Linked DNA regions of Cricetulus griseus. The main gene of each other region encodes a partner of the protein of the gene in region 3 in a complex. Links are inferred from orthologs where the notes say so. Each region holds a gene or a part of one and is shown on either strand. Other genes may lie near its edges. The genes, in order: contactin-6, Cntn4 and Ptprg.

Region 1 (11,362 bases), on a different chromosome or scaffold from region 3:
AGCATGGGACACCCATTAATAGGTATAGGTTTGGTATTAACAATTTTAATAAATAAAGCTAACATATCCAAGGAAACGGCCTGATGCACTTCAAATTATGAGAAACTTCAAAATTCTGGACATCAGTCAAATACTTGGTGCTAGAATGAATAATGAAATAAAATTCTGGTGTGTTAAAAACACAGGGTGAGGCTTCTGCCTGCCTTGCCATATTCATCTAACAACAATCTATCCATTGCCCTTGGCCTCTTCTCTGTGTGTATTAAATACCTAATCCTCTATCCATGTTATATGAAGTGAGCAATGTCATCACCCTCATTTTACACATGTATTAGCTTTGAGTACAATGTTATAGTGCAGATGATCTTCCAAAACAGGCAGTTTGCTTTGGTGTGACTGTCCACTACATTGTAATTTAACTTTCCCAAGTTTTGTCAGGATCTCACAGTCCCATTCAATTGTCCCACTGAACAAAGAGGAAATATGGACAGAAGTTTCATGGTCATTTAGTCCCAAATAAACACATAGAGGTTTGTATAAATTATAATCTGTTTGGCTGATGACTTAGGCTTTTTATTGTCTATCTCTCTCTAATTATTAACCCATTTTTATTAATTGAGTATCTCCATATGTTCTTGGCTAACCGGAGCATGCCAGGGCATCCCATCTTCCCTGTAGCTACATTGTGTCTCCCTCCCAGTCACCCCCCCTCTATCCACCTTGTTCCTCTTCCCAGAATTCTCCTAGTCTGGTTGCCCCACCTATATTTCTTGCTTGGCTACATCCTACCTGTCCATTGGCCCAAAACAGCTTTATTCATCAACCAATAACAGAAACATATATTCACAGCATACAGAAGGGCATCCCCTAGCAAGGAAAATTTTTTCTCAGCCTCAGTCAAGAACAACTCTCATTTCCCAACTCAGCATTTTGTTTCTTTCATTGTGTCAGCCACATCTGTCTCTCCTTGCCTCTTCCATAACATGTAGTCCTGATCACACCCTTTTCATGTAGAGCTTTAATATTATACTTGATCTAGCTTCTGTGTTAAGAACAGAAACTTGTATCTCAATGCTCAAATAAAGCCACTTCTTTGGATAACATTCTATGTTCTTTCTCTGAACTTAACTACTTCCTGTTCAGTGTACTGTTCAGCTAACTAAAGTCCACCTTTTATTTCACCTTATAAGTTTTTTTGAGGCAGTGCAGAGTACATGAAATATGGAATCTTGTATTCCACTATCTATATGTTTGAATATCATTCATGTTATTCATTTTTGTGTGGTTACAGGCAAAACAATTCTTTATCCCCTTTTGAAATGGAGATTTTGATTCTATCAGAGACTATACTATAATGAAAAAGATACTCAATTTACATAAAAAGTTTCAATAGTATTTACTATGCACAGGAAATTTGCTTTCTTTTTATATTGTTTTGTTTAGAACTGTACTTAAGAACTTGTTTGCACTCTCAAATTAGGAGGTACCTGCCAGCATTAACTCTAACATTAAATCTCTTTATGCTATCACTATGATTAACACATATAAGACCAAGTATTTGCAGGTGGTGGCCAGATGAATAAAACTAAAATCAATTAGAAGTCTGTCATGCTACCTTTACTTCTGCACTGACAGAAGAAGTGTAATAGAAATATCATCCATGATTAAATATGAAGTACAGCAGAATCCAAAAGTTTTATCCATGATTTAATGACAAGTGTCTGTGTATTCATTGTCAGAGTTCTATATAATACAATCTTTCAGAGCTTAGTGAAATTACAGGTTTCCTTCCAAACACCTACTTCAGTTTTTCAGGGACAGTATTTTAAATGGCAGACACACATTGAAATGCCCCACAGGAGTATAGGAGTACAAAGTAATTCCTTAACATACACAGGAAATCCACCAGTAACATTTACCACCAAAGTCCTTGAGAAATAAAAGAAAATTCCAAACAGCTACAAGTGAATTAAAGAGCCAAGCTGGATTTATCACTCAGAAATGCTGGTGTGAATGATAAGAGGTGATAAGAGACAAAACTTCCTTTTAAGAGTTAAGTTTGGGTCAGCTGGGGTAGAGGTGGGAGTAAATTATAATATGCCTGACAAAAGAAGGATGAGAATCCGATGTTAAAGAAAGGTGGCCAGGGACTTTTGTGATCCAATAATTCAAGACATGCCTTAAAAACAGAGAAGTGAATGAGCTGTTAAAATTAAAGATATATGCCCTATTTTATAGTATGAAATTTTTTACATATGGGCCACATTGTCAAGAAGGTTTCATGTTGAGATAAGTCATTAGGCAGAAAATTATTGGCCATATCTAAAACAAACTTAGTCTGCTCCATCAGACTGCTACAACCAAGATAAAAGTTATAAGCAAATGCTATCAGTTACCTAATATATAACTGCAAAACCTCACATAAACAATGTAGGGTGTTTAGAAGTCTAGTCACTCTGTCTGACAAATCAATGCTACAACAAACTTCCAGAAAACAATAAACAAGAGTTCAAACATTTGTATTTTGATGCATACCTTTTTTCTAACTTGGGAAATTTGGGTTAATTGTGGCATCTGAACAATTCTTTAACCTGTGAGAAAATCAATGTCAAAAAAAAATCTTACTGAGATGTTTTCTACCTTCCTTGGGGATGCTTCAAAGTGAAATCCAGGAGGCAGAGATTTACATGAATAAGATTAATTTCACCTCATGTATGAACTTCTAAAAATAAATAAAATGTGTAGAAAAATGAATTAAAAACACACATGGTGCCAGGTGTTGGTGGCACATGCCTTTAATCCCAGCCCTCGGGAGGCAGGGGCAGGCAGATCTCTGTGAGTTTGAGACCAGCCTGGTCTACAAGAGCTAGTTCCAGGACAGCCCCCAAAGCCACAGAGAAACCCTGTCTTGACAAACCAAAAAAAAAAAAAAAAAAAAACCCACACACACATGGTTGTAAGTGTCCTACTTAGTCGCTTGACTTGACTGTGCTGACAAAAATAATGTTGGAAATAATAATAAAGTTTTTTTAAAGTAATTCTGAATCAGGGAAAGTCAATTAAAATTTTAAGAAGAGATGGATTGGGGGGAAGCTCACAGAAGACAGAAATGGGGAAGGATAGAGTAAGGGTAGGTGTATCTTATATCTTCTAGGTTTCATCTCATTCTTGAGAGAAATCTGGAGAATTAAATACAGAAAGGGGCAAACTGCATAGCTGGGTTTGGATGTCTCCTTCATGAAGAGACACATGTAGTACATCAGGCACTACAATACCAACCCCAAAGCTCATTACACAGCTTACTGCCTTGAGGGATTCATTTAGAAAATTGTTGAGAAAATAAATTGCATTATTTGAAGCTGAAATAAAGAAAGTTGGCTCCCATGACTTGTGTGGACAGTGTTGTAAGGGGGTCTCTCCTATTCAATCTCAGGAGCATTCATTTTAAGTAAGTTCTGCTTTTCCTAAATAAATAAAATTAAATTAAAATATGTTTGATAACAATATACCCTGGGGAAAGTCACAATCTGTTTAATGTTTAAGCTTCTATTCTATAAAACAAGGACACCAGAAATATCTGACTTTATTATTATTCATCCATTCAACAGAGACATTATAAGTAAAGAATGTGGAAAGTATCACCCTATCTAAAAGAGAAACCACATACTCTTTTTGCCAGACTGAGAAATCAAGCTAGAATTGGGCAGGAAGTTCACTGTATGCTGTCCATCCGTCTAGTGCCTGATCATACTATCCTGTCTGCTGAGAGAAAATGCTCATTCACCGTGATAATCAGCTGTGGACCCTATATCCAAGCTATTGATTTGTAAGGCAACCTGTGCTCCCTGATCCAATAATGGTGGGCTTGCTATGGAAACTATCACTTACTATCTAATTGGAATGGAGACTTCCTACACAGGAAAGAATTTATAGTTGGTACTGTAAACCCAGTCAAAAGCCAGGATGAATGAGGAGGTCATAGGCCATGACGGGGAAACTCTTGATGTGGTTTTGTTAAATGAATAGGGAGCCTCTGTCAATGTTCCCTTCAATTAATTATATTTATATACCTAGTTATGTGCTCCTGACTGTTTTTTTTTTTTTTTTTTGGATAAAGGTTTTACAATGGGCAGTGGTAAGTGTAAAGACTTACATGTGGTAAAAGTGATGAGAATTAAGTGACTGTTGAATTCTCAGCCATACATGAGACACCTTGTATCACACCCTCTTCAAGGCTCGAAAAACATGATAGCAAAGGGATCAAATAGAATGTCAGAGCCAGAGGAAGGCATGGAGAATTATGCAAATATTGACTTCTTGCTGTGGAACTCTTGAACCATTGCTTCTGAATTCATGAACTTTGGTCAGCTATGATTTTCTATGCAAACCCTGAACAACATTGGACAGTTCACAGACCCAAAGTTCCCTGAAGGTTTATAGACAAATGGTAGTTGGTAAAGAACGAGTTATATATGCTTCAGTTGCATAGCTACTGATAAGCTGTCATGCTTGTATGACTAAGCCATCATTTATGCTTATGTAAGCAATACTAATGAAACTAATTATGTTATAAGCAGAGATATTAAAACATATGGAGAACTAGTTGGCACTGAAAGGGGAGCAAAAGTAGTATAGGAGACTAAAATAGAAGAATGAAGAAGTAAGTATGATCAAAATGCATGTATGTGTATATATGAATCCCAAGTTAAGAACCATTATTTAGTGTAATAGAGACATTCAAATAAAAACACTGAATAACCTTTGAAACATAAGAAGAACATAAGTGCAGATGACTAAAGTACTTTTTTCAGGGTAGGATGAGACACTATTTCTAAGCCAAATCTTTAAATTTGGTTTTTTGAAATTTATAGACATCACAGACATTTCCATTAGCCGCCGAACAGAAGCAACTAATATTCTGGTTCCCTGGGTTATCTAGTACAAGATGTGACACTAGGGGGAAAAGTAAGCCTTCTACTCTGTCCACATTGTGAGATATAATTACTCTCAAACAAGGCTTTCATTGAATCCAATATGAAGCATTTTAGTTCCTGGAAACACTATATATAAAGGATATAAGAAGCAGTGTCTATTGTTCATCTGCTAATGTCCCCAAATGTCACAAAGGTAATTACTTGGATGACATTTATGTGATACAGCTGGACATTGTTACAGTTAATATAAAGCCTGCCTGTGGCAACCACTTTATTTCCACCTACATCTCACTGTGGGTGTATGATTGCTGTTCCTAGAGAATCAACCGCCTGCCCCACATGACACCACTGCCTTGGGTTGCTTTCCTGTGCTATTCACACTAATACCTTATACAAAAGAAAAAATGAAGGGGCAACACTTGATATATGGGCTTAGTATTAATATATGGCAATTTTAGAGATGTTTCTAAGAATACTACACAATACACAATTTAAAAAATATTTTCTACCTAAAACATAACAGATTTCCATTATCCTCAGGAACCTAGATTTATAAAATAAAAAATTTTATACACATAAAATTCTATTTGATTTTAAAGAGCAGGATACTGGAAAGGCTACCTTTTTGGCCCAACATCACCAGACTATTTTCCAGAATATATTAAATATGGAATTTTCACGAAAACTTACATGCAAACTGTAGCTTTGCTTTTCTACTCAGAATGGTACCCACAGTGTTGGTGACCAGACACTGGTATGTGCCAATATCTTGATCTGTGCGGGGGCTGCTGATGGCCAAATTGCCTCCATCCAACCTATAGTGATAAGTCATGCTGAAGTCAATATCTGTGCCATTTTGTTTCCACCTTCAAGGATAAAAATGAAATAAAATTACTTATGTAATATAGAGAACTGAATACTATTTATCATAAAAATTATACTGTCTGTATTCCTGTAATCATAAAAAAAACAAACCAAACATATGATCACTTGTTGGGTGATATCTGTAGTTTTATTAAGGGCAAGAGTGTTGTTTTTGTTAGTAGTCCTGGAGTTTGAAATAGGACCAACCTCACACACTCTCACCTCTGTGCTATACCACTGGGCTACATATACTGAGTCATTTTATTTATTTTTTTAATCTTCAGACATGTTCTTACCAAGATGCCCATGCTGACTACAAACACACTGTGAAGCCCTGACTGGCTTGGAACTTGCAATCCTCTTGTATTATTCTTCCACAAGCTGAGATTATAAGGCTATGTTACCAAGCCTGGCAAATACAACTGTTCTGGGGGCAGTGATACAATCTGATAGGTTGTTTGGAAGCTCATTACCCTTCATAAGTTACAAATACTAACTCACATGAAACAAGAAATGTATGAGAACTCTTAACATGGCAAATAGAATTAGACAGCAGTCAATAATTCTGACATCTATTTCTTTAGAGACTTTTCAAATAATGTATACCGTATCTGAATCCCCATATTTGACACTGCAAAACTGAATGTCAGAAATGATTTAGAGATATAAACCCAAGAAGGCTACATTATATCCAGCACAAAGAATGCCAGCTATGGTCTGACAATACCAATTCAAGGCTGATAAAAAAAACAATAATAATGTGACAGCTTAAAAATGTGATTGTTTTTGTGAGTCTGCCACTTGGAAATTAATCATGTTGAAAATATTTCAATGGCACTTAGGAAAGCCAACCTAAAATTATATGCTAGCAAAACAAATACAGCTTGAGAACATTTTTTTAAAGAAGTCAAAATCTCTCAGATTAGCTAACTAACAATCCTTCAGTACTAGAATTATCTACATATTCCAGGGCATTAGCACTATTTGGAAGGAAGCAGAAATACCTGTAGAAGACTCCATTTGGTCAGTTCAAGATCAGTAAAATATAAACTTAGCCCATCTTACTGGATTCACTGCTTATCTGGAAACCTCCCAACTTCATATTTTAAATTATAAACATTGCACATTAATGAGATATATCTCAAAGTTACAAGTTGTATGTAGTCATATAAATTATTTATGGAAATTGGAATTTAAAAGTAATTAATCATAACTTGCACTTGTAGAGATGAAAAAAAGATAAAAGAGCCAAACTTCTCTTCATTTATTGTCAGGGTTGTTGTTGAGGGTCTATAACTGTGCATTAGCACACACACAGACATTCCATATAGCTTTCCATGACATTGGGGTTTTCAGAAACAAAATTCCCATTTACAGACCGATGTATATATATAGTGCTGGCTTTATTTAAGGATGTCCAGTTGTCAGGATAATAATAACAAGTAAGGTTGATGTTCAGAGTTAGTGAAAATTCAACATGGACTGAGGATTATGTATCATCAGGAAAAAGTAAGTTCTTTTGCTTAGGGTCCCCAGGAACTAACTTCTGAAATGAAAACTCTATTCTTAGTTTAAAAATAGAAGGGCAAGGGGGAGATGGGAAAGACCTTCTGCTTCTGCTATTGTTTCCAGGCTTTAGGGCAGTTGTTCTCAACCATCCTGATTCTGGTATCCTAAATATATTTCCTCATGTTATGGTGCTCACCATCCATAAAATTATTTTTGTTGTCATTTTCTAACTCATATTTTCAACTGTTAAGAATCATAAGGTAAATATCTGTTTTTTTTTTTTTTCAGATACCCTGCTATGAAAGGCTCCTTTGACTTCCAAAAGGGGTCATGACCCACAGGTTGAGAACAACTGCTTTAGGGTAATTTGACCTGAGCCTACCACCAAATGGCCTCCTCCTACATAACATACCCAGTTTTCAAACCATACGTTTAGGGCATGTGTCAGCCTTGTTATGATTCTTCCATTCATTGTGAAATTGTGTTTAAAATATTTTGTTAAGGTGGGTAGTTGTGAGAAAAGAATGACATTCTACAAAGTTCTTTTGAATACCATTGATTTGGGGGACAGCATTGTGACAGATTCATTGGTGAAAAATCTGGCTAATATCTACTAAAACAGAAAGAAATACATAATTTTGCACTCCTCCATACTATTATCAAAGATACAAAGTGATGGCTCAAATATCAAATCAACAAGAGGATTTGAACCAACTTCAAAATGATTTGCCCCCCTCCTACATATATTAACCTCTTTTTAATAAAACAAAGATGAACAGCAGCCATCAAAGAGTCCATCTATACAGACTGGGTTTCCCACCAATTTTTTCAATAGTAATTTGTACACACTGCTTCTTGTTTGTGCTCTTATAACAAAAAAGCAGGACATTTTCCTTCCCACAGACCCGTCTCAAGATACCAATATTCCCCTTGCTCTCACTGCAAACTGTCTTTCATAATTCGTTTGCAGGGCATGGTCTCAGACCTCTGTGTTCGCTATCATTTTCAAAGAGAAGGGTATACCATACTTAGTTTGCCAGCTCTCTTTAATTTTGGAATCAATCACTGAAATAACTGCTGTCATCATTACATGCTCCTAATTAAGCTCAGTAATTGTTTTTCAACACAAATTCAAAGTTGTTGGCTTTGCTGCTGCAAATGAATTTTTCACAGTAGCCCCGTAATCATTCTAATCACTATGGTACAATGATTATTAAACTGTGCATATAGATCAGGAGTTCAGCTCTGGGTGTGGGCTTTGTCCTAATTAATATGCTTAAATAAATGGAGAAATAGTTTTACTTCATTACAGTAGCTGTCAGACATGCTTTACTGATGGCATTATATATCCAAGCAAATTTTCCTATGATACAAACTAGAAGATGTGTGTTGAGGGAATACTTTAGCATATGAACTAACATATTAGTTTTAGAATATGTGATGAATTTGAACTGAAAAATTCTTTTACTGAGGAATATCTCTCATAATTAGGTGGTTGAGACCTGACTGGACAATATGACTGGGAGCTCTATTTGCGGTCCTTGGTAATATGCACATCCATGTATGTCTTTGTGTGGTATTTCTCACAAGTCGGTTCTCTGTCTTAAGTCCTTCTTACAGGCACCTACATCTGAGTCCAGCCCCAGACCACTGGAGGAAAACATGAAAATCTCCATTCTAAGTTTGTCTGCTGCAGATATTACAGAATGAATTGAACCTGTTCCTTCCAGGAAAAGAGCCCTCTTGTCTGCTATCCCATTACTGTCCTGTGCATCCTTGTGTATTTCTATTATAAAACTTTCACAGTGTATACCAGGCTTGATTGCAGGAAGTCTTTAACAGGAACTGGAGAAACTTATGAGAAGAGAATAACATCACCTGAGAATTTACTGACTATCCTGAAACCCTGTTTGAAGATCAGGTTGTCCTGGAACTCACAGAGATCTGCCTGCCTCTGCCTCCCAAATGCTGTGATTAGAGGCATGCTCCACGGAAGCCCAACTCAAGATTACCATTTTTTTGACTCCCTCATTTTCTAGGAGAGGCTAGCATTTAATGAGTTGCTCAATTCTCTCCTGGTTATGAGTAATTATCAATAGATACCAGAATTCAGCACTGGTAATTTTTTTTTTCTGAGACAGGATTTCTCTGTGTAGCTTTGGAGCCTATCCTGCCACTCGCTCTGGAGACCAGGCTGGCCTTGAACTCACAGTGATCTGTCTGCCTCTGCCTCCCGAGTGCTGGAAATTACCTGGCTGTGGTACACTGATGATACTACTAGCATATGTCAAGAATATTTTACTTTCCATTTTATGTTTTATTCACTAACTAATTAAGTATCTGTGTATTTATTTTGAGACAGAGCCTCACTCTGTAGACTGGCCAGGCCTCAAACTCAGTAATACACCTGTCTGGCCTTGGGAAAAAAAGAATATTTGGGATTAAGTTCTCTGCTATTTTATTTTCCTCAGTATTCTAGTGATTGGCAATTGTCTCTCACCATTGGTTTTGTGTAGCCCAGTCCCTTTGTTTATCCTTTTGACTGGTTCCCTTTCTCAGCTCTATTACCTTGTGGTTTGAAACTATACAGGAAATCCATCCTGGCTTTTGACTTTAATTGTGCTCCTGTTTATAAAGGCATTTATTTCACTGAAAATGACTTTACTCAAGTTATTCCTTAACTATTTCCAAAGACCTACTTTTAAAGATAGCTCTTTCCTCCCATGAGATTCAATTTACTATACATAATTTACAGAACAACAATAATATAAACAACTTTTTCCCCACAAAATTATCAGTGTAACAGTGCATTTGGGTCAAAAAGGAAAAAGTTAGAAAAAATGGTGCTATGATCCTGACTAGAATAACAAAACAAAAATCTTATAGCAACTGATTAAAAAAAAAATACTGTGTAGGGAAGGCCACTGTCACACCAAAGAGGAGGTAGTATTTACTCAAAGGAGAAATGATCCTCCTGCAGTTATTTGTCAGAAAGAGATTCCACAAGAAAAGATAATTCTTAATTTTAATATAAGGCTCTCTTGAACTGTTTCTCATTTTGCCTACATAACCTGGATAACCTTGGACTGTTTAATAATAAAGACCTTTTCTCCAGTGTACACTCTACCAAATAATCTAACTTTAATATCATTATTACTAAATTGTAAAAAGAAAAAAACACAAATGTAAGCAGAAATGGCAATGTGTTTACATTGTACAGCTAGAATACAGTGCATGAAATACCACTGCCCTTTGTTATATTATCAAAGAATTTGGGTCTGAGTCTGGCATTTAGGCATTATAAATTTAATTCTTTTCCCATTCCAAACTCTCTTGCTTTTGAGTTTATTATGTAAATACAGGGATGTTTTGAATCGCTTTTTAAAGATTAGAAATAAGAAGCTCAATTGTTTGTTTTTGTTTTCTAGTTTACAAATACCTAGGGAACATAACCCATTTAGCACTTTTAGAACTCCTAAACATATTCATTATTTATATCATAGATGCTCTAAAAACCTGTCCTTACAATCGGTTGCTCATACTTTTATACTTAATGCAAAAAATAAATTTTAAAAATATACTTTACTGATTTAAGATATATTTAACAAACTTAAAAACTTGTAGGCATTCAGATACTATGCCGTGAAACTTTACCTACATTTTATATCACCTGAATTAGCTTTTAAATACTCAAGCCATAATTTCAAATATGGTAATCCTAAACATTTTATTAATTATATTTTATATAGTCCATTTTAAATTAAGTTAATTTAAGGTTAAATTAAGTAATACCTCCTTTCTACAAATTTTATTTTAAGTGTAAGGGTGGTTGAACTGCATGCATGGGTGTGAACCATATATTTAAGTGCCAGGAGAGGCCAGAAATGATGTTGCATCTATTGAAACTGGAATTAGAGACTTTTGTGAGCACCATGTGGGTACGTCATATCATACCCTGGTCCTTTACCAGAGTGGCAAATACTCTTCACTGCTGTGCCGTCTTACCAGCCTCAAGGTATTACTTTTTTTCTATTAGCAGCAGCATAAATGAGAAA
Region 2 (11,362 bases), on a different chromosome or scaffold from region 3:
GATTCCAAAGATTTGTGTCCATGTATTGCATTCTTACCTGACTACATCTAAGCATGTAAAATGGCAGTTAACTACTTTTATTTGAAAGAGATAGGACAGGGAGGGAAATAAAGGAAAGAAATAAGAGAAAATGGAGAATCATTGGATAACTTTCTGAGACTAGGACCACTTAGAGAATTTTTGCATCTCTAAGAGAGGAGTGTTTGTACCCCCACGGAGCTGCTGAAGGCCAGAGATCTAGAGAAGTGATGGGAGAGATAAATGGAAAGAGAACTGAGCTAAATTCCATTCCAACAGAAACTCCACTTCTCAAGCTGGCATCTCCCCAACTTTTTTCTATCATTTTATTTATGCCTCCAACTCACAAACCACTTATCTCCTGAGTGCAAGAATTATAGGCGTGTACCAACAAGTCTGGATTGATTTTCTTGTTAATGATGATTTTGCAAGTATAGAAATGTACATTTGAATTTGTTTGTTTGTTTTCTGTTTGGCAGTGTTGCACCTGGAACTCAGAGTCTTACCTATGCTTGGAAAGCATTCTAATACAGAGCTACATCCCTGGGACCCTGTGATCCATGTCTATATGTCAGAGAAAACTTTCACTGCTCATGACTGCATCTTGATTCTCCAGGAGATCTGTGATGCTTAGGTGGAGAAGCATGAAAGCTACAGCATCCTTTCATACACAGACACAACTTCTAGAAGCATGTCTATTATGCTGTGGAAATAATGATTTGAAAAGAAATGTTCTCAACTTTGTCTACCGAATATCTTGCCTGTGGAAGAATGAAAGCATTCAACACGATTTCTTCTGGATGACAGAGAGGATGGAATGCATGAGGGTTTGAGAGACTCTCTAAAGTGGAAAGGAAAGCTATTCCTGAAGCCAGGCACAGTCTCAGTTTAACTACCTTATAAAGGCACATTTTCTAAATCTCCTCCAAGGTTGCCTTTTTGGTGAAGGTTGTACTTCCTCACCTAGCATGGGTCCACATCTGGAATTAAGATGCCAGGCATCCCTGGCTCAGCCTCAAAGTGGTAAGGCTTGCACACACCCACACAGTACTCCAAAGGGATAGAAGGAAGTCCTTGGACGCAGTGCTCACTCATTCCTGTGCATGCTGATTCAACACTTACTTATTTCTGATTTATTCATTCATTCATTAATTAATTCAAAAGCATTACTGAGAGTTTCCTAAGTGCCATGCACTGGGCAAATTGGTCAATCACTTTCTTAGGCCCAGATAATGTAGGAGTACAGGGCAGAAAAGTATGTAGTAGGGTAAGTGGAGGCCAGGGAGATGACTGCATATGGTCAGATTATTACCCCCACAATAGTAGGTATCAAAAAGCAAAATGCAAAATACTCTCCAAATTACACAACAATAAGCATTCTCAAGAAATGGTCCATATCTCACTAAGAGGAGCCTGCAATTCCCTGTATTTGTTTAATTAAAGAAAAAAAATTCTTTTTGAAAAACATTGTGCAGCAAAATGAGAACATATTTTAAAAGCATCATCTCTAGTGAACTAGAAATTTGTCTAGGTCAATTAATACAAATCAAAGATGTTAAGTGCCAATATAAGAAATTATCCACTTCTGTCAACAAAGTTGCATGAGATAATTTTTAATAAGCCTTATAACAGACACTATAAATCTACCTCTTCATATTTTTTCTATGGAGAAAACAAAGTATGTAAAAGAGATCTGCAGAAGTTTGATTGTTACATCAAAACTAAGGGATGCATTTCTTTGAACTAAGCTAGGCTGAAGGAGAAAAAAGCTAGCTCAGAACTAAGATCTAAGGGCTGGACTTCCTTGGCTCTGGAAACTATTAACTATGTAATAAAAATGAATAGTTCATTCATTCCAATCTTCACTTTCACTTTTATAAGGATAAAAACTAGGAAATATATAAAGTCCCTTGGCCATAAAATCCACTTGATTCAGGATGAGGGCACAGGCTCACTCATGGTACAGGACAAAAAGTGTAGTCAAAAAGTAACATTAGTCTTCAAGGATTACACAAGGCTCTAGGAAAAACTAACTTAAAGATATTTAAAGAACATAATGCTTTACTTAAATTTTATTTATTAAATACAGAATGACCTTTCACTTCAACCAATTGAAAACGATTGTTGAATACCAGTGTGAATGAGAATTCCTCAAAAGAGGTTGTATATACCAAGAATGATTAGCTATAGTGATGTGAAAATGTTGAAATGTTGTAGGTCCAGAACCTAATTATCTTATTGGTACTAGCGTTAGTCCCCAGAATAGCCAATCCCTTCCCACATATGTATAGGAACTAACATCCTATAACTAATAAATAAAAACCTTGTGTAATATATTAACGTTAACAGACCACTAGCTGCCACCAATCCCAAAGCTAAGAATGTCATCACATAGCACATTAGGCTTATAAGAGAGATTTCTCAATTTTTTGTTATACCCTTTCTGATGTTTTCATTAATGAAAATTGCCTTGATTTCTAACTTTGTTCATTGCATTACTATTAAAACTCCATGAAACTGCTCCCTTGTTGGAACACAGAACATAGGATGACATACAAAGAGCTATGATTTTCTGTCCATGGTCAATCAGGTTTGGCTCCAGAATAAACTTTATTCCCTTGGAGATAAGAGCTTTGTTTTTTGTGTTGACATCAGGAACATCTTTCAAGTTTTTTTTAATCTTCTTTATTAAAAAGCTAGGAAAACATCTCCTTGAAGTTGTAGCTTGATAATGAGGAATTTCAGCATTAAAACATGGTCAGAATGTAAAAGATGTGGTTGTGAAAATTTATCTTTTCTAATTTAGTTTTAGAAACATACTCATTACTAAGGGGGGCGTTAAAGAAATGTGTGCTTTCAAACAAATAACCTACTAGAGACTCTACAAATGCAGGACAGAGGCAGTGATCTTAGGTCTTTCAGAATGGAGATGATATGAGAAGAATAAAAAACAAACAGGAAAATATACAGTCATTCCAAGTTTTATCGAATCCTATAAAAGGAACAGAAATGATGGGATGTTGAAGTAGAGGACTGGAGGAAGGCAGACAGAAGAAAATAAGAGATGCTATGTAAGAAAAGGAGTTGTGGAAAATATCTATTAGGCTGCGTCGTTTCTGATACTCTGTTGCCATGAAGTGACAGCATGACCAAAGCAACTAGTAACTGTTGGATTGCTTACAGTTTCAGAGGGTTAATCCATTCCATTATGGTGGGAAACATGACAGCAGGCAGGCAGGCATGGCACTGGAGTAGAGCAGTAACAAAGGCTGGGCAGTCTGTTCCACAAACAGGAAGCAGAGGGACTGGGACTGGCATGAGATTTGGAAACCTCAAAGCTCAGCACCCCCCAAGACACACCTCCTCCAACAAGGTTACACCTCCTAATTCTTCCTCAACAGTCCACAAGCTAAGAACCAAACATTCAAGCACCCTAACCTATGAAGGCCATTCGTATTCAAACCACCACAGACACAGAAGTTGAGAGTGGAAGAGTTTAAGAAGTCAGCTAATTGAAGGAGTGGAAGAAGTGGGTACTGGGTATCAGGCAAAGCTAATGAAAGTATCAAGACTCTGGTATCAAAAGAGTAGTTTCATTTTTTTTTTTGAGAAATTAAAATAAGATGTGCTGATTTTTTAAAGTGCAGCAGAAGGCATAAAGCAAGGAAGTGGAATGATCTATTTTACATTTTCAATGATTATTCACTCTTTTATGATAAACGGCTGAAGCAAGGCTCCAAGTTGTAGAGAAACCAGAGAGGAGTGAATACTGAAGAGACAGTAAGTACATCTTCATTTTATAAGAAAATTCCCATTGCTTAAGGATAAATAGAATTTGGGGTTCAATATAGAATAATTGGCTAAATTTGCAGCTGGCCTAACAAGAAGAATGTGCAGAGAACACTAACCTAATGGTTTGACCTGACCTCATCTTAGTGAAGTTCTCCATGACACACACGTGATACCATGGTCAACACATACCAGTTATACTGGTGGAGACATAGCCATGACATTTTCTGATGATCCTGAGTTAGGAGGACAATCAATATTTAAGATAATTAAAAATGTATCTAACTTTATGTGGAATCATAACCAGGACCTCACACATGCTGGCAAGCACTCTGCCAACTGGGCTGCACCCTGACCATATTTTTTGTTCTTATGAGACAAAATTTTACTCCATGTCTTATAATCGCCAAGAACTCACTATGTAGCAAAAGGTGGCCCTGAAGTCATGGCCTTGTTCTCCTGCCTTGGCTTCCTAAGTACTGAGAGTTCACGTATCAATCACCATACTAACTTAAGGAAAGCTACCTAAACACTTCTAACACACATAGGGGTTTTGAGCCAGTGGTCTGAGCTCATCTCTAACATTCAGTCCTAGTAGATTGGGAGAGAGAGATTAACATGTCCAGCAGCATTTTCCATACCAGGAAACACATAGGTTTGGATTGGGTGAAAGCTACTCCCACCTGCAAGGAAGGAATTTATAATGTCCCAGAGATACCATTATTTTGGAAGGAGAGGTAAAAAGAAATATATTCAAAACAATTTCAAATGAGATAGAACAAAGGATTACTTCTGAGAAAGGGACATATAATCGAGGAAAATACTATATTCTGAATTTAGTTTAATAACATGAAATATTAGATAAGCTGTAAACTAACAATAAAGTTATACTAGGAGACTAGCACTTTTTGAAAATGAACAGTATGACCACTATATTTGCTGTAGTGGAAGTTCATAGCATGGCTACATTGGCTTCTAGTGTCCTTTGCAAAGGTCACAGCACATGTAAAGACTTGTAGACCTATCTATAGGGCCATAACTTCATAAATGAATTTACACAAGAGTCTGTTGTCCAGAAGATAATTGCCCATTAAATACTCAAAGGAAAGATAAATTATGGGATAAGATATGGTTTCCAGACTAACTAGTTTCATGCAGTAAGAACTGGAAAGGGGCTGGAGAGATGACTCAGCAGTTAAGAACACTGCCTGCTCTTCCAGAAGACCCAGGGACCATTCCCAGAACCTACATGACAGTTTATACATTATATCAGTTCCAACAGATCCAATACTGTCTTCTGGCTTCTGAGGGAATTGTATGCATACAGTATACTGATACACATTCAGACAAAACATCCATAGGCATGAAATGAAATGAATGATTGTCAACAACGATTCTGATGGGTACGTATGTCACTATTGATATAGAATGAGCAAGGTGGGTTTCACATACATTAATGTGAAAATGCTTCAAAAAGTGAAACAAGGAGCTTCTTGGGGAGAACTATTCTATTCTATTCTAGTTAAATAACTATCTTTGAATATAAAATCCTGTCTTCTTAATGTGTTATATAATAAAAAGGCCTGTACTTTTATAAAAGCATACTCTTGAGGGCTGGTAGAAAAGTATTTTTTAAATATTTATTAGAAAGTCAATTTGCTGGTAATAGTATCCTTCTCCCTTTTTGTTGTTAAACGCTTGCTACAAAACCCCCCAAAAAATCAGGGTCACAGAGTTGCAATTTATTGAACCATGAAATTTCCCCCTATGTTGAACACCTACCATTGTATCATTATTTTGTTGGATAAACCTAATGAGACTCATCTGTAATTACTAAAATGTGAGTATAGATACCAGCTTGATTAAACCAGAGGAATATGCAGTTTGGTTCTGTGGCCCTTAATCAGATGTATTACCCTCCTATTATTCTGCTTACCTAAGAAAATTGAAGACTATCTCAGGAGACATATACAAACATGGAGCTCCAGAATTCTATATCTATAAAATTTCTAGAAAATTCATTTCTCAATGAGTAAAAAATGCCACCAAACAGCAATAAAAGATTAAGTGCTGAATATAATAATAGGTATATTTGATATTCTGTTCCCAGAGAGGGTTTTGTTAATGAGAATATTCTACAGTGATACAACCAACAGACTTAGTAATTATGAAAACTTTGATATTAACATACTGCTATACAAGTTGAGATTTTATACAAGGGAATATATAATAATATGCAAATACATACACCTTTAAGATTGTAGCTGAACAGCAATTCTCAAGGTGTCTATAATAGAATGTGTGCTTACAGCTTCTGCCCCTGGATTGTGATTTTCGACTCTTTATTTCTAAAACCTACTTCCCTTCACACATGCAAAGATTTTCTTTAAGTAGCAGTCTTAAGATATGGCAACTTGTTTCTCAGTGTTCTGGTTTGGTATATAAACATATAAGGTGAATAATACTGTACCCCTACTTTTCATTATTGGACTTTAAAACATTTTTTTTACTGTATGGAAGAAAGCCCAGAGAATTGTAGGCTTTACTGGTGAATTGACAACCAACCAAGCTATGCCTCTACTACGAATGGTTAAAATACTTCTTTATGGACTACGAGGTTGCTGATAGTTCAATTACCTATTCACATATGCTCTGTTCAATGTTTGTAGGTGTTGTATGCATGCATTTATTATGTGTAACCTGTAACATGTGTAAACTTATGTCTGTTTAAAGCATCATATAACCAAATGGTCATATAACTGAATGATTACATAGCCACACTATCTCAAGACTTATAAAACATACAGCTTCCCTCTCATGTTTATAGTTCATTAGTCATGTAAAATATTTTCAAAATATGAATAAAAGGTAAAATGTTCATTGCCACACTCAAATACATGAGGTCTTTCAGGAGGTACTGTTTGTAAAGTGTATTCACACAATGTACAAAATCTCAAAGATACATTTGGGGTGCAATATAATTGCTACTTACAAGCAAACTGAAGCTTTGCTTCTCTGCTTACAATTGTTCCAAACGAGTTTGTTGCTATGCACTGGTACGTTCCAGCATCTTGGGTTTTATTGGGGTTATTGATCAACAAGCTGCCTTCAACAACACTGTAGCGGAAATCCATACCAATGTCAACATCTGTTCCATTTAACTTCCACCTATAGTATAAAAATGCCAGTAGATAAAGCCTTGTAATATAAATCAATATTTTTGAATTGTCTAAAATAGATAAAAACTATGAAGACCATAAAATATCATCTGTGAACGTTTTGAAGCATGGTAAATACAAATATTAAAAACTAGCCAGCAATGGTGACATCTTAAGTACTTAGGGAGAAAGAGAGCCGTCCTTTGTGCTAAATCAAACTTTAGCACATGTCCCATGACTACATAGGATACTCTAAATAATTATTTCTTACAGGGGATAAAATTTTCCACATGGTTTACTACATCTTTCTTCAAAAAAGGACTCCTCAATAAAACGTCCTTTTTCTGTTTGGCATCCTAGTTTAAATAGGTATGTCAAGAGGACAGAACATTCCACTTTCAGGGAGACAGCAAAAGAGCTGTTGAAATTTCTGCTGAGTTCTTAACATGCCTGAAGTGCTGCAATGCAAAGGAACTCTGTTGATCTGAGATGCTTTAGGGACCAAATCTGCCTGACCATGGATCAACTGGATGATCTCTTTAGTCACTGCCAGTCAACTGCCCCAGTAAACTACAGACTATTAAATAACCAAAGCAAAGAATGTTTTCTTGTCCTTCTGTTCATTTACTGGGGTCACCTGTGCATCTGACTGTAGCAGCAAGCCCAGTAAATTAGTTTTCTGGGGACTTATATTTCAGCAGGTAAGCTTTGGTATGAATATCTACAATTTTGTTCTCGGAGTCACTAACATCCAAAGAATGAGAGCTTATCTGAGTCAAATTATCTTTCAGGATTCATGGGAATTCATATAAACTTTTGAACTAATATAATTCAATGACTGTTTTCTGATAGCTTGTGAATTACCAAGACTCTCACAGGAGCTGAAAACATACAGAAGATTATAGCACAAAGGAAATTGATTCAAATCAAAAAAGGGAGTAGAAATTGAGAATTATTCATCTTACTTTCTTAAAATAACAAGAGCCATTACCTAAATAGAAATGCGCATGTGTATGCCCACCCATTGGGCAATCCTTTATAATATCCCAGGCATTGTAGTTATGAATGTATAATGTGCTAGAATTTAAATGATAAAATTGTTAGTCTGTTAGCTTCAAATTACACACACATAGGTGGGTCGTGTGCATGCCTGCATGTGTGTGTGTTTGTGTGTGTGTGTGTGTGTGTGTCTTTTAGAGACATGGTCTCATGCCACTCAGGCTGGCCTCAAACTCCCTTGGAATTGAAATAACCCCAAACTCCTGATTCTTCTTCCTTCATCTCCCAAGTGTTGGGACTACAGACTTGAGTCAGTACATGGAACACCAAAGTCAATCTCAGAGGACATGTATGCTGGTGGTGCTCTTTGTTTTAAATTCAGCAGCGGGGAGGTAGAGGCAGGCAGACCCATGTGAATTACAAACCAGCCTGGTCTACATAGCGAGCTTCAGGCCCATGGTTAAATATAGAGACCATCTTAAAAAAAAAAAAAAAAAAAAAGAGCAGAAGGGGGAGGCACACATCTTCCAATGAAATTCCTGCCCATATTTCCAGTCAAGATGTACCATGTTTCATTAGATGTCCGGTGGAAGTTCTCTTATTCCTTCATGCAAAGACTGCTTTTGCCACAAGACAATTTACCTCAACCACTTCCGCATTCTTGCTCTCATCCATCTAGAACTTAACTGTCTAACTGTGCGCAATAAACACTTGTTGAATTGAATGGATTCAGAATTGTGTCTTTCTGGTATATATTTGAGCTGTGAGCATATACACAATTCATGAACCATGCTTGCCTCACCCAGCACCGTCATATGAGTTTACTCCCATCTGTGTCTTTGCAGTGTAAAAATCTAGAAACAGGAGGGCCAGGGAAGTAGACTAGAAGCACAAATAGGACTTAGCTTTTTATGTTTTTGTTTATAAGAAGCTGGATATTAGAAACTGACAGTGTTTTAGGGGCTCTGCAGTAATTCTCTCTGTGCTCTGACACAGACAAGAAAGTAATAAGCAATAAAGAGAACAGCCACGTTACAGCCCAGCGGTGCTAGCTGCACATGAATCTCTAGAACTGACTGCCTGCCCTACACATTTACTGTTAGTCAGCTGATCACGTCTTGGCCATAACTCTCACTTCAAATGATAGCAGAGCAATTTAATATGACAAATCTAAGAACTCAAAGAGGAAATTGCAATATAGTGTGAGCTGCAAGCAGAGTGTGGAATTTGGGAATGGGACCATGTGAGTCTTTTTAGAAGACTGGCTATGGGAATAATGACACCTCTGTAGGTTCGTCGGCACTCGTCACCTCAACCAAAAATGCCGTGCACAAAGTCCGTTCATCTACTTTATGGCCTGCCTTTACATACGAACAGCAACAGGGATGGGATTATTTAGAAAATAAAGTGCTTTATGAGACATGCGATAAAGCAGACATGGTGTTTTACTGCAATGCAGTCAGTGTTCATTCCTATTGACTATGGATTGCATTGAGAATTTCTCATCTCGTAGCATAGTGAAAAGCTCTTGAAAATCTCGCAATTTAGTTTCAGTGTTTGAGGAATCTTTTAAGTATTGGTAATGGAGAGGCAAGGCTCATTTGGAGTAAATAGATTTTCCCAGGGGGCAAGGCAAATTGGTGTCTTGTAAGCTGACTTCTCAATTACTTGGGGGAAGCACAGCTGAATTCTCTTCAGAGAGCAGGGCTGTACACAGGCAAATACGGCCACCTTGAACCTCCCCAAGGCATGTTTCCACAGAGTCTGTACAGATTCAGTGCAGAGAAACCTTCACTGTTAACTGTTTGAACTTGACACTCAGGGAGGGGCAGGTCCTTTCTGACTTGGAATTGGCTCTCTTCAGACTCAGTTGAATACAAACTTCACAGCAAACCAACTCTAACAGGGTGCTTGAAAGCCTCTTCCTTCTAGGAAGGGGTGCTGGGTGAAATAAGTAATGTCACCTGTCCTTAGGGAACTTGAATACAAGAGAAGTTGGCATGAGGCAAAACTTCTTAAATTTTCTGGGTCGGGGTCAATCCTTTCAGAACTGATGGGCAGAAACAATGAAAAGAAAAGGCTCAGTTGAGGGAATAAACGTAAAGAAAAGAGGTCAGTTAGGATGTCTTAGGAAAAACCTGCCGCTGAAGATCCCCGTGGAGCACTCACTTTGGAAATTTTCCTACTTGTTCAACCCCCTGAAAGTCAACACCAAGACTAAGAAAGTTCAGCTAGCAAGGTGTTCGAAAACACCTGATCTCTCTATTCATTCTCTTGCTCTTTCATTCAGCAACAGGGAGTTTTTAAGCTCCTGGGTCCAGACTGCTATTATGTCACAAGAAAACTGCCAGGGGGATTAAGGCAAGCACCAGTGCACTGCCTGGAATGGCTAATGCATTTGATTAAAAGCTCTCCTCAGCTTTCCCTGCAATCTTTAAAAACATAATAGGTTTCTGTTCTATGGCTTGTTTTAAATAACAAGGCAAGCCCCTATATCTAGAAACACAATGTTACAAAGGCAATGTTAATTAAAGGTCACAGTTTGGGGGAAAACAATGCAGCAGCTTGCCAAAAACTGCTGCAGAATTTGTTTTCATTTATAGCTAACATCTGAACTTACCCTTGGCTGTGTGTTCAAAGAGGGATCCATTAACTCGTCATTTATGTATCTGAGCAACTTTGTGCCTTGCATTTGTTTTTACTTTGCAGTGTGTTTTCAAATCATTAACTTAGCCTTGAATTTACTGTATTATACCCAGAAAGATGACGCCTTCTGGCTCGGTCAGGACAGGTTAGGGTTTATAGGTGATGCTCTAGAGTAATTCTTGATACTGTTCTTTCTCTTTCAACATGTCCTGTGTCAGAGGATACCTGGCATGCTCACTTTAATTAGTTGTTGTCTTCTTTCTGGAATGTTCATCCTTTCTTTATCCATGTGGCAAAGCAGTTGGCCTTTCTCAAGGACCTGCAACATCCCCTTTTTTTTGAAGTCTTCACTACATCTACCCACTACTTCTAGTTTTTTTTTTTTTTGTTGTTGTTTTTTTTTAATTCCCTCGAAAGCTGGCAGCTTCATGGGTGCCCCAGCCATGCCATGTCAGGATGCTCGCCCTTTCCATCACTCATTTCCATTCCCCAACTCTAATGTTTTCTCTGTACCCTGTTCCCCAGTATTCCCTGAGCCTGGAAGGTTAGTATAAATGTATTTTATTTACTCTTGCAGTAACTTTATTAGCATTACATTTGAGTATAGTTAAAATAAGTTACATAAAATGTATTTTGAAAGGGATCATGAGATAATGAAGACCTGTGTTTGATAAAGTGAATAGTATTTACTACTGAGGATTCCTGTGATCGCTATGGTTGGAAGCATAACCTTTATCCATGTACAATCTTTA
Region 3 (10,496 bases):
AAATGCAGCCATCCCACAGAAAGGCTAACATCCTCCCACATGAAAGCACACTGGACAAGCAGAACATGGTCATCTCACTGTTCTGTCTGACTGGCTTGAGCTAATCTTTAAGAAGAGCTAAGAAAATAAAGAGGGGAATCCTGAGTTTAATCATTTTATTAGAACCAGTTAAGTAAAGGTTAAATTGTTTCCTTCTTAAAACCAAGTCAGTACAAATTTTTTTTTTAATAAAATAAGGTCAACTTAGTGTAACTTAGAATACAACAAAAGACAGCACAATGAGAAAGGACCAAAACAAACACAAAAAGTAAACCAAAATAGAGTCATCATAGTGGATATTAAAAGTATATATTTAGAGAACTAATGAAGAGTTTTATGAAACAATTACAGACATACTATGAGCCAGTTAACAAAATTAACACCTAAAAATGAAAAATACTGCTATTAAAAATGAAAGAGGGGTCAGGCAGAGGTGGCACACACCTTTAATCCCAGGACTCTGGAGACAGAGGCAGGTGGATCTCTGTGAGTTTGAGACCAGCCTGGTCTACAAGAGCAAGTTCCAGGACAGCCTCCAAAGCCACAGACAAACCCTGCCTCGATAAACCAAAAAAAAGAAAGAAAGAAAGAAAGAAAGAAAGAAAGAAAGAAAGAAAGAAAGAAAGAAAGAAAGAAAGAAAGGAAAGGAAGGAAGAGTGATGCTATGGTTGAGGCTGATATAGAACTAGCAGAAACTAGGCGTGGAATCTCTAACATGTCTAGGAGTTGATGCAGAGGGAGATAAAACCCTAGCAGGAACACCAGCTAATGTTTTAGAGATAATGAATCAAGTTCCAAACTGAGCTGTTTGAACAGTAGCATTTAGAGAGACTCTGAATAGCACAGCTTTACCTAATGTTGACAGAGACACATGTGTACTCAAGGGGTACTATGTGAGAGACAGCCTGTGGAAACTCAAGTGGCTTACCTATAAAAAGTGACCAAAAATAGAATCTCAATAAATCACTACAAACTAGATACAAAACCACACTCGTTCATCACAACACATTAATACTAGAAATCCACAGTTAAATAAGATTCTAAATCCTATTAATGGAAACTGAAGTTCTTACATGTGAAACTACTTTTAAATAATTTATGGCTTAAAGAGATAAACAAGATTGAAACTGCAAAATAATACCAAATGATCAAAGCATTAACTTTCAGAAAGAACCACACTGTACCTCCCTTAAAAAGTCATAGCCCAATCTGCATTTATTGAAGTTTGGAAACAACCTTGGCCTTCAGTTTTGAAAGCTGGGGGGAATAAACAGATAAAACCACTGAAATACAGGTAATTAATGGAAGAAAACGAAGGGAATGAAGCGGGAGCAAAGACAGAAAGTGTAAGCAATAAATAGACCTGGCCTAATGAAAGATGCAGTGGTGATATCCAGGGAGATGACATGCTGCTACATTCCCAGCTCGGAGGAGACAAAGGTAGGAGAAGCAGCAGTTCACAGCCAGCCTGGACACCACAATGACAAGTTGTCTTTAGAGGGGAAGGAGGAGGCTGGGAGTGAACCCTGGATACTGTCACAAAGAAGACAATTATAGAAGGCATAAGTTAAGAAGAAAAAACTTCCACTTAAAGACATCTGAGAACTGTTTGTTTATGCTTGTTCTTTTAGGTTCTTAGCATTTACAAATTACTTATAAAAGCTAATTATCAATAAAACATCTCAATTTACTTCAGGAAGAAACAGGTAGAAGACTGTCCACAAGCTGGTGATTTGTGTAGCTGAATGACAGCTACACACTGGTCCTTTTGAGATTATACTTCTGTGTATGTTGAACACATTCACTGATTAACAAAAAAACCTAGAAATACATTTAAAAGAAAATAAAGTAAGTGAGACTGTTTACTTGCAACATTATGTTAATAAACTTTAAGCAAAGGTAGTAGATGATGTTTACATGATATGTGCCCATCTCTTTTCTAAGCCACTTAGATCTGGAAGCTGAAATGTAGCCATAGTCTCGCTGTAAGACTCGTTGGCCAGTGACTTCACCTGAAATGCCTCTTCAACATTAAGGGACAATGACCGCAGAATTGTCTCATAGGGAAGAATCACTCTGTGTATGTAATTATCTAGAGAGAACATAGACCACACAGTAGTGATTACCAAGAAGTGAGTGTGAGAGAGAGAGCCCTCCCCAGGCCTGGGTCCCCAAACTCTCACTGAGGCTACCTCGAGATAGTAACAACACAGTGAGAAGAGCACAAACTGCATTCAAAGGAAAATGCTAGCACCAGAGTTGCAATACACAGGCTAGTCCTATACATTTGACAATCATGAGTAAAATACCATCCAACAAAATCCAATATAAAAGGAGTTACATATTGTAAGAAAATAAGCTTTATTCTGGCAATATAACACTAATTAAATAGTATCAAAATGTGTTGATGAACTCAAGACATTTTCAAAGATTTTTTTTTTAAAAATCAACAGATAAAAATAGGTAGAAAACATCTATAATAAATAATGGAATAAAATAACACCCCTTCTTAACCCCACCAATATCTTCAGCAAACAGAACAAAGAAAATAAGCCATCATCCTTAACCAGTTATCATTTATGAGAAGCCTGTCACACATGCTTTTATTTTTTTATTTAAAACTTGAGTAGCTTAACCATTAAAGACCATAAAAAGCATGCCTGCTTCCATTGCTGGCACACTAAACATTTCAGGGTTTAACCAAGGCAGTAAATACCAAAGACCAGAATAAACATCAAGAGGCTAAGTCCACCACCTAGAGAGCCTACAAATTACTCAAGAGTTCTGCTGTGTAACTGTCTGCATGCTCACTTTGTCAGCATAATTAATGTCTCTATACATCAAGTGTGAAGGTGCCACATGAGGCCATTCTGAGGAGTAGCAGGGACTCCATGGACCCTGGAATTAACCTAAAACATGATGTGCAAAGATCTAGAAAGAAACTCCAAAGCCCAATTGACCTGCGTAAATGTAGAAAAGGCATGCTATTTTTGAAGAGAAAAACTAAAGATTGAAAAGGCATGGCTTTCCTCAAACTTATCTATATATTCATGGAATGTAGCAAAAACCCTAACACTTTTTGTTCCTTGATAGTCTGGTTCCAAAATCACCATAAAATGGTAGAGTGGAACAGAAGGTTACAGGTATTTTGAAATAAATATGAAATGAAAATTTGCAGTACACGGGTTTAAGGATATGGCAGCAGTAGGCATTTATAACCTACCTATACTTGAAACATGAAAAATAAAATTAGAAGATACAAAAGAAAATCTTTACAGGCAGAATTCTCAAAGCAGAATTCCTCCTGCCCCAAATAAAAGATGACCTTAATTTACATCTGAGCTGAACTGTATTCCAGGCAAACAAAAATGATCATAAACAATGTTTATAAGAACTTCAGCTTTACTGTAACCTTATAGGCCCATCATAAATGTAGTCTTTGGTTATCCAAAACACCATTATGCAGTGGAAGGGTTTTTTTAAGTTCAATTTATCTGATTAAGTGTTGGAGAGATGGTTCAGCTATTAAAGGCTACAGTCACAACCAAATGGACATTAGATATGCTTAAGATTATTGAAAGTGAGGGCCCTGCAGCACTTTCTATTTATCTCACCTGTTGTAATATCTCTTATCCAAAATCAATTCTGTAGTGTTTACAAGTCTACTTTTTTTTAAAGATTTTATTTATTATTTATACAACATTCTGCTTCCATGTACATCTGCACACTAGAAGAGGGCACCAGATCTCATAACGGATGGTTGTGAGCCACCATGTGGTTGCTGGGAATTGAACTCAGGACCTCTGGAAGAGCAGTCCGTGCTCTTAACCTCTGAGCAATCTCTCCAGCCCCCACCCAAGTCTACTTTTGAACCTTTTGTTTCATTTTAGACATCAAGCTGAGCCATTTTTCGAAAATGGCTTTGGGCAAAAATGTCACCTCTATGTAAATTTGTAGATCCCTCCCCCTGTCTAAAATTTAATTCATTCTGTCTTCTGGAATAGCCACCAACCCAGCCAACTTAATTCTTAAGAAAATATGTGGTGGTACTTAACCTCCCGCTACATGTAGTCCATTCATACATCTGAAATCACATCTTTCTTTTCTCCTCCCCAGGTATGGAGCAGTTTCTGCAGGAATGCTATGTGCCCTTACCACCTTGTCCCAGCAGCTAGAGAATGAAAATGCTGTGGATGTCTTCCAGGTGGCAAAAATGATCAATCTTATGAGGCCTGGAGTATTTACAGACATTGTAAGTAGTTTGCATGTGTGTCAAACCTGTCAGATGATCCTCAGATCTGTACTACAGACCAGGGGTTCTCCACTATGGGTGTTGACCACGAGACAGCTGGCAATATCTGGAGACTTACTGTTTTTCACCACTGGACAGAGGTTCTGTGGCATTTAGTGTGTAAAGGCCAAGCTCACCATGCACAAGATAACCCTTGCCAACACGGAAATATCTACCCCAAAATATCAGTAATGTAGTTTAAAAAAAATTCTACTCATGAGTAGAGTGTCTTATGAGCCACCATCACTGAAACAGGTTCTGTGCTAAGACCAGAGGATATGAAGAAGGCATAGAGCTCAGTGATTCAAGTGGTTGCTTTTAAAGTTGAATAAAAATTGTTGCTATTCTTGTCTCTCTGGGCATGGTTTTTAGAAGTATGTTTTTGAACAGTATTTGCATCTTTGATAAAATGTCTAACCAGTTATTCACACCTGTCTTCCAGGAACAGTACCAGTTTGTCTACAAAGCAATGCTCAGCTTGGTCAGCACTAAAGAAAATGGAAATGGCCCCATGATGGGGGACAAAAATGGTGCTGTGCTAACTGCAGAAGAGTCAGACCCCGCTGAGAGCATGGAGTCTCTGGTGTGACCGGACCCCTGGACGGGCACTTAATTTGTAAACTTCTGACACTTGTAAAGACAGAACTTTTTTGAGGCCTTTTTTGCCAGACTCTAGGTTATACAATAACCCAGTTACTTTTTTACACTGATAAAAGTTTTGATATTTATTTTTTGCCATTTTATGTCTTAATGGTATCCTACTGAGCATTTGCACCTGTTCATTTCACACAGTGAAACGCAACTTTACCTAGTTTGCACTATATGATCAGTGTTACTGCCTATAATCTAATCTACAGCAAACCCTGATGTGACATTCCATGACAACATACATGCTACTATTTAGTTCTGTGCAGTGAAGGTCTTTGTTATGACAGTGAATCTCAGTTTTGTTATTATTCTAAAGCAATTGCATTTTCCTAGCAGGCAACACTGTACTTTTCTCAGTTCCCCTCTATTTTTTTTTCTAGGCACTGTTCAATACTATATGCCTTCTGTTACCATGGAGTGGATGGGCATTGTTTCCTTTTACAGGGCAGGAGGTTAATGGGAGCCCATAAGAAGTCTGATAATGTCCATTCCATTTGTCATGGTTGAGGGATCCACTAAGAAGTTAAGAGGGCTTAAGAGTTGCTTCATGTGAACATCTCTTATTAGTTACCGAGTTATATTCACAGTTGAAATGTGTCAAAATAAAGAATCATTCTGTATTACAGATTTCACAGTAGTTATGTGGACAGTGTGTGTTATTTCCATTTTGACTCTCTGAAGTAGCTACACCCTAAAATAGGGGCTGGCTTTTATAAAGGAAAGGTGGCACTATTTCATGCAGTTTACTTATGACCCCTTTAGTTAACCCCACTAAAACTTTTTGGTATCTAGTACCATACCTCACAGTAGCTACAGCAACGGAAAATAATAGGTATTTAAACTTTCTTCCTTTATTTTTTTTTTTGCCAAATGTTTCATAATAAATCTCTTAATTACATAATACTCTACTTAAGATTGAATTTGAAATATATTTGAGACCAAATTCCTACAGATGAATCAGTCTTATTTGGAGAGATAAATTTGAGTCTTAAAGAGAAAGTTCAGTTTTTGAATGAAAGGTAACGACGTCTCCATTTTAGAGCAGGTTTTGAGGAGAGTTGTGGATATTCACGAGCAGATAGATGCACAGCAGTAAGAGCTGACAGTGTTCGGTAGTAAGCCCTAGGTCCAGGTGGAGCTGCTTGTGACCCATGTAGTACATAATGGGAAAACTGGAAGCATTACTAAGAAGTTTCATTTGAGTTGGTTTAAAACAAAACAATACCCATTAAACTATTCACCAAAATCTGTATCTTCCTTTTCATGTCTCCTTTTGAAGGTCAACTTCTGTCAGACTTGAAATCATCCCCCAAGATTGAACCCCCATGAACAATGGGGTTTGGCTTCCTTATTATTCCAGTAAGCTTTACGATGAGGCCATGTGGCTGCTGTCACTGTTGAGGCAGCATTGCAGTGGGAATGTGGCTTTGTTCTTCTTGAGTTGTTTGTCTGAAACTAGTCACAGAAGTGCTGGGGAACCAGAGCTGTTAAGGAGAGGGTCCCAGGCCAAGTTAAGAGTTTCAGTGCATGAGCCAGGCCTATGAAGATAATTTGTGCAGACTAACCTAAGCTTTTGAACACACAGAGAACTGAGAGTCTGTCTTTCAGGAATGGTGACCTGCTAAGCAGAGTCTGTAAGGTGTCTGTGCTAGATAGCACCCTAGGCACATTTACCACACACACACACACACACACACACACACACACACACACACACACACACACACACACACACACACAGAGCCCCATCAGAGGTGTCACCCTGCACAATTCAAAGAAGGACTAACCATGGATACAACTCTCAGGGCTGAACGGAATACTGAAGGAAAAAGATTCAGATCACAGTAAGAATTAGAGATCCCTAGCCAGTTAAGCAGATTCTTTTTGCTGTACACAGATCTGATGCTCTTCAGTTAGATGCTCAGTGGCTCTGCCATTTGGGATTAACATTCAAGTTGGAGTTCATGGTCTCCCAATTTTCTCTTAATAAAAGTAACTGTTTAGAAGACAAATAGCAAGTATTACTTTCTGTGCTATTCACACAGGAAATTCAATTTATGGAATTACATGCTCCCCACAATTCTGGGACTATCTCTTACACAAGTGAGAGAATAAGGAGGAAAGGGGGGTGAAATAAGTAGGACAGAAATAAAACCAAGGTGGGTTGAAAGCTCTCTGTGGGAAGCCTACACATCCATCTTACTGGACTATGAGCAGTTGCTAGGTGACCATTTTGCCAAAATGGTCCACACATCCTTCACTGAGGAGAGTTACTTTCAGCCATCCTCAGTCCTCACTTTCACCACAATATGTGTCTTCACTGTTCTTTGCTGTTGGCAAAAATATTTTGCATCTTTCCAGAGGCAGAGAGTTCCAAAGATGTTTTCTTTGAGACATAAGCGCATTGCTTAGGTACATACTAAGGGTATAACCACTTACAGTCAAGGGGAAGGGATACAGCTATTGCTAAAGCTAATGTGCAAGTTCCTAAAATAAGCTGTTTGCATGTGTGATTTGCCTCTAGGGCACAAACCAAACAAAGCTGACTTGTAAAAATTAGATCAGGTGGACACGCTGGACATCAAAGATGTATTAGAGACATCAGAACAGTTTCTTGTACCCCAAACTATAATACCATCTTTAATGTTCCTTTTTTAAAAGTTACCTTCTGAGTTTTGAAACTATTTGAGAGCCCGTTTTGAATAGAAGAGTCCAGCAGGGTCAAAATGAAGTTATAGTGTTCAAGATGAAATAAGGATTATGGTGTCCAAGGTCTGGTGGGTAGTTTTTACCCCAGAGTGACAATGAAATCAGTAAATAACCTTAATTGTCGTATAATGACACAGCACAACTGCCTTCTCATGACTTTTCTTAATTGCATATATACTATATTTAAAAGTAAAAAGTAGATACCAATTTACCAAAGATACACATTACTAATTCTAAGCAAAAAAATAGAAACCCAAACACATCGTAATTTAAGAAAAAAATAATCAAAATGTAGTTGTCTTAAGGCTTTTGCAGTTACATTGGAAAATGCATTTTTCAAATCCTATGTCCTAAAATTTCTGTTCAAATGGTGCCAGTCAATTTTTATATGAAGGGAAGAATGCCTGCTTTTTTTTTTCATAGCAGCTGTAATTTCACATAACCCTTTGCACTTTCCCTTAGTTACCACTTAACACACAATATTGGCTTTATTAACACACAATATTGGCTTTATTTATCTCTAGAAAGAAGGCATGGTAAATAGACGAAATTATAATGACATTTGGCCTCTACTTTTGTCTTAGCTGTTAAAATGTTTTTAGTATTTTTGTTAAATATTTGCAAAGGGAAGCATTTTCTACAGAGGATAATTAATTTCAAGAAAAATATCTTGAGTTTTAAGAAATAAACATCTCCAGAAAAGGAGACAGTCAATTTTATAAAATGTCGTAACTCTCCAACATTTGGGGTAGTGACTCCTTTTTTGTTAGGACATTTGAAACTAGCAAGCAGCCATTGTTTCTACAGAGCCCCACTTTCATGTCGACTCGTGTTTGTTTCGCTTCATTTTCAAATAGCTAAAATCATTAAAATTGTAAATATTTTGTTGCTTGAGTAAGCATCTTCTTCGAACTTTGTATCTATGGTATATAATCATAGAATTTTATATTTTCATATAAAGCTAATTTTTTTCTAGTTTCAACTACGTCATAGTTTTCGGTTTTGTTTTGTTTTTGTGGTGGATATGTGAACTTACGTGTACTGAAGTAGCAAGAACCATCTTTGCATTCCAATTGAATCCAACCTGTGTTCTTCCTTTGAGGCAGTGATTGTGAAAGTCGGGTTTTCTTTTTAATTCCATTGACCATTAGTGCAAAAGCAATTAGACATGACTAGTCACTGAATACATTTGTCACATTGACTCATTTTGGAAAAAGTGGATTTTTTTTTTAAAGATTTGTTCCGTGGGGACGGGGGTTTTATAACCTGAAATTTTCCCTTTTTCCTTCTGTTTTAAACTATATCAAATCATTCTATTATAGTGTTATTTAATATGTAAATTGTATTGCTATACATAAAATAAAGTATGGTTTTTGATGTACTTGGTAGTATTGAGCATTTCTATGAGAATTAGATCCGGCTTTCCTTTGTAAGTAAGTCACACTAACACTCAGTAGCCCTCCATCACAGTGTTCACTGTAGTAAATGAATGTTAGCAGTCACCTTTACAAGCAAAGCGACATGCTCTTGCCAAACTGATTCCTGATATTCTTCTTCCTTTCACCCCAAGAAAACAAGACCAAGTCTCACCAGTGTCAAACAGCCTCTGCTTTGTGATTGTCCCTCTGGCATCTCAACCACACTGGGGACAATTTCCTATCTTAATGTTTACTGACTAGTATAAAGGGTGGGTCACAGCAAGACCTTTGTAGAAACATGGAGTAGACATAGGATCAGTACAAGTTCTTCTATGTCAGGACATGGCTTCTTAGTTTACCATTCTGTCTCCATCCCCCAACGAGCGCGTGCACACACACACACACACACACACACACACACACACACACACACACACACAAGCCTGTCCTTAAGAATGCGTCTCTTCCTAAAGTTATACCCCTGGTGACTCTAGTACACTGTACCGGTGTATCACAAATCAATTAGCTATATAGATCCTGGTCAGACAACAGGAACATTTTATTTGACCTAATTTTTTTTGTAATTCCTAATAGTTACCAACATTTAAAAATACATACTTTTTACATTCAGATTTCAAGCTCCCTTTCAAAACTGGGTGGTGGTATGGCAGCAGGCTCACTGTCTGCCACAGCCATATGTCTGGTCCCCATTGGTCATGTAACTAACCTTTTTAGGTCTGGTGAGCAGCTGCCTCTAAACTATACAGTCAGAATCCCAGGGCCATTTTCACCTCAGGTTGGTAAACCAGCAATCAAGAGCAACAGCAGAAGCATGCGTATTGACCTCCCATCATTCACACCCTGCCAGTCAGAGCCCAGTGGGTTCCCACACTCTTGACTCCCTTGGAGTCAACCCAAAATGATACCATTAAGTAAGACATTGTGACTTCAGAAATAGTTCTATCGATTGTCCAACTCCATGGCTTTGATTGTACAGAGTATATCTCTAGACTAGGAAGCTTCATTTCTGTTACTAAGAATTGGGGAGGGGATGCTATAGTAAAACTCTACCTTTTTACACACTAAATGTGAAATTTCAATGATTTAGGAACAAGTCACAGAGATGGAACTAAGGGCATAGGTTCAAGTTGGGTGTCATGGGTGATAATCTTAGCTCTTGGGAGGAAGAGATAGGAGGATCCAAAATTCAAGGTCATCCTTAGCTATACGTGTTAATTTAAGTCCAGCATGGTTACATAATACCCTTTCTCAAAACCACAGACTCCAAGACAAATAAATGAATGAAATACTAGCTTTACTTTATATATCCTATATTAAAGGTAAAAACTAACAAGTTAAAAATAGCTTTTGTAGTTATGACACTTCATTTA

What was found.
Region 1: the proteins of Ptprg (region 3) and contactin-6 are in contact, whole or in part, in a crystal structure (PDB 5E5U), measured with the Mus musculus proteins. The link is inferred for Cricetulus griseus from reciprocal best matches to the Homo sapiens genes PTPRG and CNTN6. Residues at the interface, in NP_033007.2 of Mus musculus: Val225, His226, His227, Lys229, Phe288, Thr290, Gln292, Gln293, Asp294, His295, Val296, Lys297, Ser298, Val299, Glu300, Tyr301; in NP_059079.2 of Mus musculus: Arg129, Val132, Arg135, Gln138, Gly139, Val140, Val141, Leu142, Leu143, Cys144, Gly145, Met222, Gly223, Tyr225, Glu226, Pro227, Lys228, Glu230, Leu252, Asn306.
Region 2: the proteins of Ptprg (region 3) and Cntn4 are in contact, whole or in part, in a crystal structure (PDB 3KLD), measured with the Mus musculus proteins. The link is inferred for Cricetulus griseus from reciprocal best matches to the Homo sapiens genes PTPRG and CNTN4. Residues at the interface, in NP_033007.2 of Mus musculus: Lys222, Val225, His226, His227, Lys229, Phe288, Thr290, Gln293, Asp294, His295, Val296, Lys297, Ser298, Val299, Glu300, Tyr301; in NP_001103219.1 of Mus musculus: Thr128, Arg129, Ser130, Val132, Ser133, Arg135, Gln138, Gly139, Met140, Val141, Leu142, Leu143, Cys144, Gly145, Val219, Met220, Gly221, Glu222, Tyr223, Glu224, Pro225, Lys226, Glu228, Leu250, Asn304.

The regions. Positions count from the first base shown.
Region 1 is NC_048601.1:39,518,642-39,530,003, forward strand, and holds part of contactin-6, read right to left. Parts: intron 5,801-11,362; 5' UTR 5,767-5,800; coding exon 5,625-5,766; intron 1-5,624. UniProt on the Homo sapiens protein: Contactins mediate cell surface interactions during nervous system development. Participates in oligodendrocytes generation by acting as a ligand of NOTCH1.
Region 2 is NC_048601.1:37,942,604-37,953,965, forward strand, and holds part of Cntn4 (contactin-4), read right to left. Parts: intron 6,976-11,362; coding exon 6,800-6,975; intron 1-6,799. UniProt on the Homo sapiens protein: Contactins mediate cell surface interactions during nervous system development. Has some neurite outgrowth-promoting activity. May be involved in synaptogenesis.
Region 3 is NW_023276807.1:170,272,062-170,282,557, forward strand, and holds the end of Ptprg (receptor-type tyrosine-protein phosphatase gamma), read left to right. Parts: intron 1-4,155; coding exon 4,156-4,291; intron 4,292-4,772; coding exon 4,773-4,919; 3' UTR 4,920-5,615; downstream 5,616-10,496.